Linked DNA regions of Rattus norvegicus. The protein of the gene in region 2 purifies or fractionates together with the protein of the main gene of each other region. This does not show direct contact. Links are inferred from orthologs where the notes say so. Each region holds a gene or a part of one and is shown on either strand. Other genes may lie near its edges.

Region 1 (5,314 bases), on a different chromosome or scaffold from region 2:
GGGAGGAGGCTACTGTGCACCGTAGCGCTGGACACACCAGGGACACGCTGACAATGGATTCAAGCAGGGAGTGAGCATGCAGGTTCCAAACTTTGATAGTGCAGTCACCCTCAGTGTCACAATGCTTCCTCCTCTCTCCAGGTGGCATGTGAAGGACCTGGTCAACTCTCAAGGGAAAGTTCTTCTAGGCCGGAGCTCCCGGCCCTGCCACCCACCCTCAGCTAACACTGAGTGGTTCTGCAGCCTCGCTTACCTGGATCCTGTGTTTTAACTGTTGAAACTTTTCTTTCACCTTAGTGTTCAGTTCGGTAAGCTCACTTAAGGGTCCGGAACAATCTCGAATATCCTAGAAGACAATGAAGAGATGAGGGGCCTTTCTCCCGTCGATGAAATGAAATGGCCTCATTGGCACAGTGAGAGAGCTGAGTCAGTCCGCAGCTAAGGTTGGCCAAGCTCTCTTGCTACCTCATCCTGCTCAGTGCTGTTCTGTTGTTGTAAAAATATAAAAAAATAAAAAGTAAGGTTGTCTTTTATCCCCCCTAGGTCCACCACTGCAGTGCCCCAAGATATCTGCTTCTTAATTCTCAGTCAGCAAAGTGTCTCACCCGCTCTGCTTCATCCTATATCCCATTGCCAAAGGCCTCTCTCTGAGCCTGGCAGCAATCTCTCTACCTATCTAGTTCCCAAGGCAGGTTTCCATGCCAGAAACACATCCCAACTCTGTAGTGGCCCAGACCAGCCGCCACACACTTTCTTACACTTAAATCGCTATATGAAAGAACACACAACACAATAACCTTTGACCCAATTGATAAGATATAATTGCCCACCTAAACACACAAAGCCCAATACACATCTATCCCTTAAAAACATTCGTAACAACCTGTAAAGGTACAGCGTGGGATCTTAATGTCACCTGCCATATTGTCCTGCCACAGCTTCTCTCCCTGTCCTTCCAGTCCCCTCCTCTTCCTTCAAATTTTTCTCCCGCCCATCCTTCCTTCTTGTCCAATGACAGGCCTCCTTCTATTTTTTTTTTCTTTTCTATTTTTCGGAGCTGGGGACCGAACCCAGGGCCTTGTGCTTGCTAGGCAAGCGCTCTACCACTGAGCTAAATCCCCAGCCCTGGCCTCCTTCTATCTTGTACCTGCCTCACCTGTGACATCATCCCACACTGTTCTCCATCATTTTCAGTTTCCTCACCCTCTTAAGATTAACACCAGAGGTCCTGAGTTCAATCACCAGCAACCACATGGTGGCTCACAACCATCTGTAGTGGGATCCGATGCCCCCTTCTAGTGTGTCTGAAGACAGCTACAGTGTATTCATATAAATAAAAAAATTAAAAAAAAAGATTAATACCAAGCCTAATAGGAAAAAGCAGGCTGAATGTATAGTTCATGATACAGCACTTACAGAGCATGCTCTGGGCCCTGGCTTTCATCAGCAGCAAAACATGCACATAAACACACACACACACACACACACACACACACACACACACACACACATACACACACACTCACACTCGTGAACGCATTGTATGTGTGTAATAAATAAACAGGTAAAGCTCAACCTTGACTTAGAAGTTTAACAAAGTGTATTCACTAGGAAAGGCTTCTTCAGCTTCCATGCTCCACAAAAATGAACACCTAAAAAAAACCCTGAAACTTCAGATCCTTCCAACTCTAAATCCCTGGTAACATGGAACAAAATTAATTTAGTCTGATTTTACAAACCATCTGTTGCATGTCAAAATGTTTAAAGACGGACTGAGAATTTGCTTCTGGAAAGAAAGTCAGATTTATGAGAGCCAAGTTTTAGAGCAGGCTCTAGACTTAGGCTGTGTATATTCAAATCCAGGTTAGAGCAATTTATCAGTGAAATCTTGGAGCACTTAAGTTCTCTGTGCCTCCATTTCTTTATCTTACCTTTCTCAAGATCGGTCTGCCTAGAACACTTGACAGAACAACTGGAGCACCATAAGAATACAATGTACAGGGCTATGCGTACTCATTAGTAACTGTAAGGACCCAAAACACATAGGTCACAAGAGACCTAGCTAACAGAAAATTTTATGAAAATACAAAGTTTTATGATATTATATAATTTCATACTATGATATAATATGAAAACACAACTTTTCAAAATTTTGAATGTAAGGGTTTTTTTTTTGAAGACAGATCACTCTGTGTAGTATGGGTTGGCCTCAAATGCATGGTGATCCTGCCTATGCTTCCCAAGTGCTAGCTAGAGCCACCATACTAGCAATTTTGTTTTACGTATGTATATGTTTTCATAGATGCATTCTGAGGACTGAAACCAGAGCCTTGCACATGGATAACCTTTAACTCTACACTCAACTAAATTTAACCCCCAGCCTCTGGTAATCTCGCTTGTATAAACCCAATCTTGTTTATTTTTCTATAAGTGGCCCAAATATTTTTTATTTACACATCTTAGGAGTGAAGTGGGAGAGATGTAAAGTTTGCAGCGTTTCTTCACTCGTTCTCTAGGCTTACTCATGAAATCACACTTCCTCACACCATCGGAGACTATTAATGTGGTACAGTGTACATCTGGCTTAGCAGAGAATACTACTCCCCACCCTCCTTTTTACAGGGGCTCGCAAAACAAAGCTTAGGCCAGCAGCCAGGCACAACCCATTTGCAGCACTGGGGATGGAACGCAGCGCTAAGCAAGTGCAGAGCCGTACCCCTACCCAATTCTTATTTGCTGTCACAGCTTGTATCCTGAGCCGATTGGGTTCTTTTTGCCAAACTCTGGAGTCATTTCTACATTCCCTTTTCGTGCCCGTGTTCGATTTCTTACGCGCCACAGTCTCTACTTACACCTGCTTCCAGATAAGCGCCTCACTTTCCGGTCTGTTCAACCGGATAGGGAAGCTCTAAAATGCTTTTCCTAGGCTGGTTTTCCCCATCCAGGTCCTAGTACTGGCACTGCCTGCCTTCTGACCCAGAACTTAGCACAATATTTGAATTCTTCGTTCAAAAAATTACAACCACGTCCTAGGTTAAGTTAGCTTGGGCCAGAACTCCCGCGTCAGGTGGCCTTGGGTGCCCTCCGGGTCCCTAACTCAGGGAAGTGGGCGTGGGAGAGGGGCAGGGCGGGGGGAGGGGGAGGGCGGGGCTACCTCCGAGACTTCGGGTAGCCCCCAGAACCACTTCAGTCCAAGGGACAAGAGCGGCGTGTTAGGCTACTCCAGATTTGGCCAAATCAACAGTACGCAAAAGAAACGCGCTGAAGGTCAGTGTTCTCCGGGAACCGACCGAGTGGTGCTCGAGGAGCCATCCTGGAGAGGGACTGCGGGCCTGGGAGGCTGGACCGGGCGTGAATGTCCTGGAAAATGCCAAGGCAGCAATCGAGAGCCGGACAGGAGCCTACTAATATGTACCTGGATAAGTGCCTTCACCTCCAGGTCGAATTTGACAATCTCCTGGTTACAGATTCGGACGTGGACATCCTGGGGGGCCGCCATGTTGGAAACGCGGCTACGGCGAGCGGCGGCAGCCAAGCTGAAGCGCGTTCGCGTGGCGCCTGCCCGCCTTTCCGAATCTCTCCGATTGTGGTGCGGAGGGGAGATCCGGTGTAGATCAAACCAGGTCGCCAGCCCAGACCTGGAACTTTCCTTGACTCGTAGAACACGCACAACTTCTCTGGGCTGCTCCTACTAAACGGAAAAGTGAATTGTGATTATGAAGAACCATTAGGGTTGGGGTGGAGAGGCGGGGGCGGGCTTGGATTACAACTCAGGTGATGGGCTGGCCTGCCATAAGGCCTTCAGTTTTGTTCCCAGTACTAAGGAAACAACCCCCACGCCCACCCTTGCTAAACAGTGGGCACTTTCCATCATTCAGAGACCAGCTATTCTAGTGACATTTTGAATAGGAAAAAAGGACCAATTAGGATGTCACCAAAGTTGTAGGGTTTTTTTCCTTTAAAATTTAAAGCGAAATTTCTACAGAAAGTATGAATTACGGAGTAAGACACAAAGTTTGTAAAGATGCAGAATTAAATACAGGTCACTGGGGCACCTCCATTAGTATGACCGTACCCTGGGGCTTTCTTATATTCAGAATCTACACTGCCTTCCTCACACATTTCTATGGCTATGGTTCTGCCCTTTGTGTAGAATTGAATTCCAATTATCTCGAAGGAGTAATTCTGATTGTGCAATGTAGTTTTAGTAGAAACAATGTCAGTGCAAACCTCAAAGAAGGGTAGTGCTTTTTAAAATTATTTCTTAGTAAGTCCTCACACCATTGGCCACTTTCCTTTCCCCCACCTTCTGGGATTCTCCAGGCTCTGTAGTCTTGGGTGTGGGGTTCCCTCTTTTGAAAATGTTTTTCTCAAACTGCACACACAGCCCCTACAAGTCAGTCTCCACACATGCCTTTCTGGTCCAAAGCACCCTGTACCACCCATTTCCTAAAAGGTGCTCAATAGCTCACTGCAGCTAACGAGAGCCTGGATTCCAGCCTAGTAGTCAGCAGCCTGGCTCTAGTTATTCCCAGAAGAATTCCATCATCAGTAGCATCCATCACTCCTAAGGTCCCCTGGAGGGCGGAATGAGGTAGGACACCGCTGATAACCCATAGTATTGAACTCAATGCTTGCTAGTTTCTGTTCATGTACTGCCAAGCCGCACTCTGGGAACACTTCCCTATGTGCAGCCATTTTCTAAGTGCTTCTGCCATATAGGGTCTCATGTAGCCCAAGCTGGTTTCCACCTGCCAAGGATGACCTAGAACTGTTGATCTTCTTGCCTCAATCTCCCAACTGCTGGAATTATAGGTACTGATGAACACCACAGCTGCCAGACCCGTATTTTAGCTCTACACAACTTTCCTATATATCCTTTCTATCTGGGTGGAGTGGCACATGACTATCCCAGCACTCAAGAAGTAGAGGCAGGGAGAGCCCCCACGACTTCCAAGCCAGCCTAGTCGATATAGTAAGTTCCAGACCAGCCAGGACTGTGGTGTAGAGCCCTGTTTCGTCATACTGGTTATATCAGTTTACGTTGCACCAGCAACATTGTGGAAACGCCTGTTTCCTTTAGCCCCACCAGCTTGGTGTAGTCTCTTTCTTTTTGCATCTCTCATAATGAATGAGACTGAGAAACGTTTCAAAGGTATCACGTTTACTTTGCTCATTTTCCTACTGGGTCATCAAGCTATTCCGTATTAGTTTCCAGGTTCCCTTTTTGTATTAGTATTCACGAGTTGCAAAATTTGTAGACTTTTGACTTTGCTGATGGGTGGTTTGGTTTTTTTTGTTTTTTGTTTTTTGT
Region 2 (5,442 bases):
GCCTGGGATACGTGAGACACAGTGTCTCAAATCACAAACTAATCCAACTGTACTCATGTCCTGACCTCCTAAGAATCGTTCAGAAATAAAGCAAATGAGTTGTGGCGAGTATCAACAGGCTCGACCTTCACTGGAAACAGTGAAACCCACACCCATCAGGTGTAACTATTTAAAGGGGCACAGTATATTCTTAAGCATGTGAGATCCTTTTACACAGAGATTTGTATTAGCTATGTTTGCTTATTTGCTTTTGAGAAAGATCTCGTGCATCCCAAGCTTGTCTCAAACTTGCCATGTACAAGTCAAGGATGACTTTAACTTCAATCTCTAATCCTCCTGCCTCCACCTCTTGGGTGCTGGGATTCCAGGCATGCACCACACTTGATTTTACTTTTGCTTTCTTAAGACAGGCTGGAGAGCTAGCAGCTCTTGTTGCTTTTGGAAGACAAGGATTGGATTCCCAGCCCTCACACAGCGGCCTAGAACCATCAGTAATTCCAGTTCCACGTAAGCTGAAGCCGAAGCCCTCCTCTGGCCTCCCCTGGCACCAGGGCCGCACACTGTCACAGACATATATGTAACCGAAACACCATTAAAAACAATTTCAGAGATGTAGAACTCTCAGCTGCTTCTCTAGCAGCATGTCTAGCTGCACACCACCATGCTTCCTGCCCTCATGGATTAAACCTCTGAAACAGATGTCCCACACCATGCCTTTGTCCATGCTCCCTTCATGATAGTCATGGACTTACCCTCTGATATGCAAGCCCCCAATTAAATGCTTTGTTTTAAGTTGCCTTGGGCATGGTGTCACCTCACAACCCTAGAACAGTAACCAACACACACCCATATATGCCACCAATGAGGGAAAACATGCAGTATCTGTCTGTCTGTCTTATTTCAACATTATAATTTGTGCTTCCATCTATTTTCCTGAAAATGTCACAATTCCACTTCTCTTTATAGCTGAATAAAATTCCTTATCCATTTGCCTGTTAAAGAAAATAATTTCAATTTTAAAAAGACAAGTTTAGCCTTAACTATACAGCACGCAACTAAAAAATAAATAAGGAGCTAAAACCCAAAAACATACAGTCTAACTCTGTGACCTAAACTGATCTCCAAATCATGGGAATCCTCCTGCCTCAGCCTCCAAAGGGCTGGGATTTCAGACGTGAGCCACCACACCTGGCTTGGCAGATTTTTTTTGTCTCTCCCGTTTTATTTGTTTATAAAGAGCGTTCACCATTGCACACAGCAATTAACTGAGCCACTGTGGACAAGGACAAAGTCCTTAATGAAGTAGTTTGCACTTAACATTCTAAAATGATAGATTGTTTGATGTGAAGAGTCAAGGCATGTGGGTAGGCAAAGGTAGAGAAGGTTTGTTTCCTTGTTCGGTTTTTTGTCTTGGTTTTTAACTTTTGGTTTAAGGATGGGCTGGCAGGTACTTATTAAACTTTCGAAATGTTATGTGTATGTGTGTTTTGTCTGCATGTGTGTCTGTGCACCACATTCTTCAGTGTACACAAAGGCCAGAAGAGGGCACTGGATCCCTAGAGCTAGTGCCAAGCAGCTGTTAGCCACACTGTAGGGGTTGGGAATCAAAGTCAGGTCCTCAAATTCTCTTAACTGCTAAGTCCATGTCTGTCTGTCTCATTGTTTGTGTGGTGGTGGCAGGGCTCAATTCAAACCTGGGGCTTCCAAAGTGCGAGGCAAGAACTCTGGCGGTGACTCCCCAGGCCATGTCAAGCTCTAAGGGGTTTTAAATTATGGTTTATTTGTTTAAGGGTTTGTTCATTTAATTTGTGTGCATATGTAGTTTGCTCCCATGAGTTTATGTGTACCATGTGTAAGCCAGAGGCCTGGTTTGCCAGGACCAGACATTTAGAACTCTGAAACTAAAGTATTGAGCTGTCATGTGGGCTCTGGGAACCGAACCCAGGCCCTCTGTAAAAGCAGCAAGCACTCTTAAGCACCAAGCCATCTCTCAAGCTCCGAGGGGCTGGGGAGAGCTTATCAGAAGCCAAACCTTCCTCCTAGGAGCCACATGGAAATGTGGGCACCCTTCAAAAGCTTCTAAAAAGGTTGGGCATGTTAACATCTGTGAAACAGAGGGCTGTGGACTTGGGAGTCCAGGTCATCCTTAGTCATGTAGGGAACCTGGAGCAAACCTGGGCTACATTCAACATTGTTTCAAAACAAAAACAAAAAACCAGCCCCTGCAGAGTACTGAATTCCTAACAACCTGCCACTCTTATCTCTTCAACGTGAAATGACAAATATCTCACAGCCTGACATAGTTTCCTGTCCTAGGTAGGAAATGTAGGTACCAGGTCTTTTCCTTGTCACCTACACAGACCAAGCCCCAGGACCTAAGCTGTGTGTTACCTGCAGCACATTTTAACTGCATATTCACCAAAGGCAAAAGTGCAAGTAAGCGATCATCAAACCTCTCCCCGGAGCCCATAATAGTGACCAGCAAATACCTGATAACGAGTTGGCGGTTCATTAAAATGACAGGTCCCAGTGAACTCAAACCAGTCACTAGGTAAGAGTGTCAAAGTGCTCTTTTAGAGAGATAAAAGTCCACATGCAAAGATAACTAATATTTATTACTGTTTAAAGATCGTACAGGAAAAAGATACTTCATTTAAAAGATAGCTGGCCAAGAAACCTCTTTTTGAAAGACTCTGAAAGAGCGAGCTTCGAAGGACAACTAGACAAAAAGAACTGAGGGTTTGGAGCCTGCTTACTTTTCTCCTCTGTGTTCTTCGTTTCGTCACCGCTCTCGGGGCAGCACTGCAGAGAAACAGGTGTGGCAAACAAGTTAGACTCACGTAAGTGGAATTCATACAGGGCTCCAAAGCGGAGACGTCCCAGGCACCTCTCCCAGAGGCATGCCTGACACTACTGCCACCTCCCCAGAGGTCTGAACCACCTCCCCAGGGTCCAAATTACCCTGCCCTGACACTGAGTCCACCTTCCCGCCAACTCTCAAAACTGTCATCTTCTGGGACATCGGACACTGCACCGTGACTACCTCCCCCGGGACGCCCTTGACTGCCTCGGACCGTGGGAACCACTGCCACACGCTTCCAAGTTACCCTGCGGGGACAATGTCCCGGGGGGGGGGGGTGATGCGTTCTGTGCCACCTCACAGGGTCACCAGAGTCCCTTCTCCGGGTTACCAGGGACGCCTCACCAGGGCTGCCGGCACATCGCCGATCTCGCCAGCTGCAAGCATCCTGCCTCCGCTCGAGTCCTGGATTCCATGCACCGCCAGCCTGGCCTGCAGAGTCCGGCTAGAGAACACACACACTAGGCGACCAGACCAGCCTTCAGGGACGCCGGGTTGAGCGCCACCTCGACTTCCTATCGCCGACTCTCTGGTTCCGTTCTCTTGGCCTAGAGAGGCGTATCTGTGGCGCCGCTGTCCTGTTCCGTGGCGCCGCCTGCTGGTTGGCTGTCAGATCGGCCGCTCAGGAAACCCAGCGACCCTACTGCTTCCCAGGCAGAGAGGGCTGGCTAGCATGCTCTTCTGTGGCAGAGCTCCCTTCACTTCTCCGGAGTTATTAAAAACAGAATTCGGCCCTGGCATAGTGACTCACAGTTGTAATCCCACAATTTGGGAGGTGAAGGCAGGAGGATCAGGAGTTCAAAGTCAGCTCCAGTTACACACTGAGTTCAAAGCCGCTCTTGACCACAGATAACGAGGTCTCTCAAAAAAGAGGGAAGAGAGGAAAGGAGAAAGGGGAGAGGGGAGAGGGGAGAGAAAATACTTTGGCCTCCTTATGATGGTTCAGTATCAGCTAGAGCATCATAGAGAACATCTCGAGATGGCTCAGTGTGTAAAAGCACTTGCCACCAAGGCACCTGGGTTCCATACCTGGCCCATGTGGTAGAAGGAGAGAACCGATTCCTTCAGGTTGTCCTCTGACCTCCAAACGCCTCCCCATCGCTCTATAAATAAATGAACGTTTTATACTTAGGCAAATCCCGATAAAAAAGAAAGTGCGGATACAGACAAGAAGTGTCAGGGTAAGTTACTAGGTTTGGCATGACTGGGAATTTGCCAGTGAATGCCAGTATCCAGATCTTTATTTAATGCTGGTCAGGTTGCTTAGAGATGATCTTATTTTTTAACGGGAAGGTCCAGTTCTGTTTGTAGGAGGCTTGGAGGGTTGAAACATTCTAGGAATCAGGCAGGGCACTCAAAAACTGGCATCCAGTTTGCCTAGCTGAGCCCCCCAAACCTCTACTGTTTTCCAGGGAGGAGGAACTAGAGTTACTTAGAAGCAAGAGATAGGTAGAGAACACTGAAATTTGACAGGCAAACCCTGGAAAATGCCTTTGAGACCAAAACAAATGGGACTAAACGGAGACAAACAAACAAAGAAACAGAAAGCCTTTAGAGGAAATAGAAAATACTCGCTGAGAAAAAACCTCACTGAGGTGCAGGCATACACGCAAACATAACAGCCATACACATAAAATGAAAATAAAAATTAGGAACCAGGAATAGTGGTCACACCTTTTGTTCCAGAACTCAGGAGGCAGAGGCAGGTTAATCTTTATGGGTTCAAAGCCAGCCTGATCTACAGAGTGAGCTGAAGGACAGATAGAGCTATACGGTGAAACTCTGTATCGATCGATCAATCAATCAATCAATCAATCAATTAATAGAGTCTAGAGAGATGGCTCCAGCAGTTAAGAATGCTAGCAGCTCTTCCAGAGAAGCCAGGTTCACTTCTTGGCGCCCCTAGGGCAGCTGACAACTGTTAACTCTAATTCTGGGGCGTCCAACACTGTCTCTGCACTCTCCAGGCACCAGACACACACTTGGTATACAGCCATACGTATGGACAAAACAGCCACACACTTTAAAAAATAAAAGTAATAAAATAAATTAAAAATTAAAACAGAGTCTAGGCTACATTACATCACAAAGCTGTAAGGTCTTATTAATTTACCATAGTCCAAGAGTGTGGGGATGTACAAGAATTAGTGAAACGGGCCAGGCATGGTGCCACAAGTCTTTAACTGCAGTACTTTTAAGGCTGAGGGAGGAGGCTGTTGAATTCAGGGCCAGCCTGGGCTATATACTGAGCACCAATATTAAAAAGAAAAAAATGGGACTGGAGAGATGGCTCAGTGGTTAAGAGCACTGACCGCTCTTCCAGAGGTCCTGAGTTCAATTCCCAGCACCCATATGGTGGCTCACAGCCATCTGTAGTGAGACCCAATGCTCCTCTTCTGGTGTGTCTGAAGGTAGCTACAGTGTACTTATATAATAAACAAATAAATTTAAAAAAAAGAAAAAAATGAATGAATGAATGAATGAATAAATGAATTAAAGACAAAGGAAAGAATTTAGTTAGGTGTCTTAGTCAGGGTTCTCTAGAGTCCCAGAACTTATGGGTAGTCTATATAGTAAGAGAA

What was found. Proteins that work in one complex are often made in the same cells at the same time.
Region 1: the proteins of Rint1 (region 2) and Bnip1 purify together in Homo sapiens (co-immunoprecipitation; 3 studies listed by BioGRID and IntAct, counting the BioPlex papers as one, with this or other methods). This does not show direct contact. The link is inferred for Rattus norvegicus from reciprocal best matches to the Homo sapiens genes RINT1 and BNIP1.

The regions. Positions count from the first base shown.
Region 1 is NC_086028.1:16,900,052-16,905,365, forward strand, and holds the start of Bnip1 (vesicle transport protein SEC20), read right to left. Parts: upstream 3,511-5,314; 5' UTR 3,500-3,510; coding exon 3,416-3,499; intron 347-3,415; coding exon 254-346; intron 1-253. UniProt on the Homo sapiens protein: As part of a SNARE complex may be involved in endoplasmic reticulum membranes fusion and be required for the maintenance of endoplasmic reticulum organization. Also plays a role in apoptosis.
Region 2 is NC_086022.1:12,244,749-12,250,190, forward strand, and holds the start of Rint1 (RAD50-interacting protein 1), read right to left. Parts: upstream 3,370-5,442; 5' UTR 3,248-3,369; coding exon 3,206-3,247; intron 2,803-3,205; coding exon 2,757-2,802; intron 1-2,756. UniProt on the Homo sapiens protein: Involved in regulation of membrane traffic between the Golgi and the endoplasmic reticulum (ER); the function is proposed to depend on its association in the NRZ complex which is believed to play a role in SNARE assembly at the ER.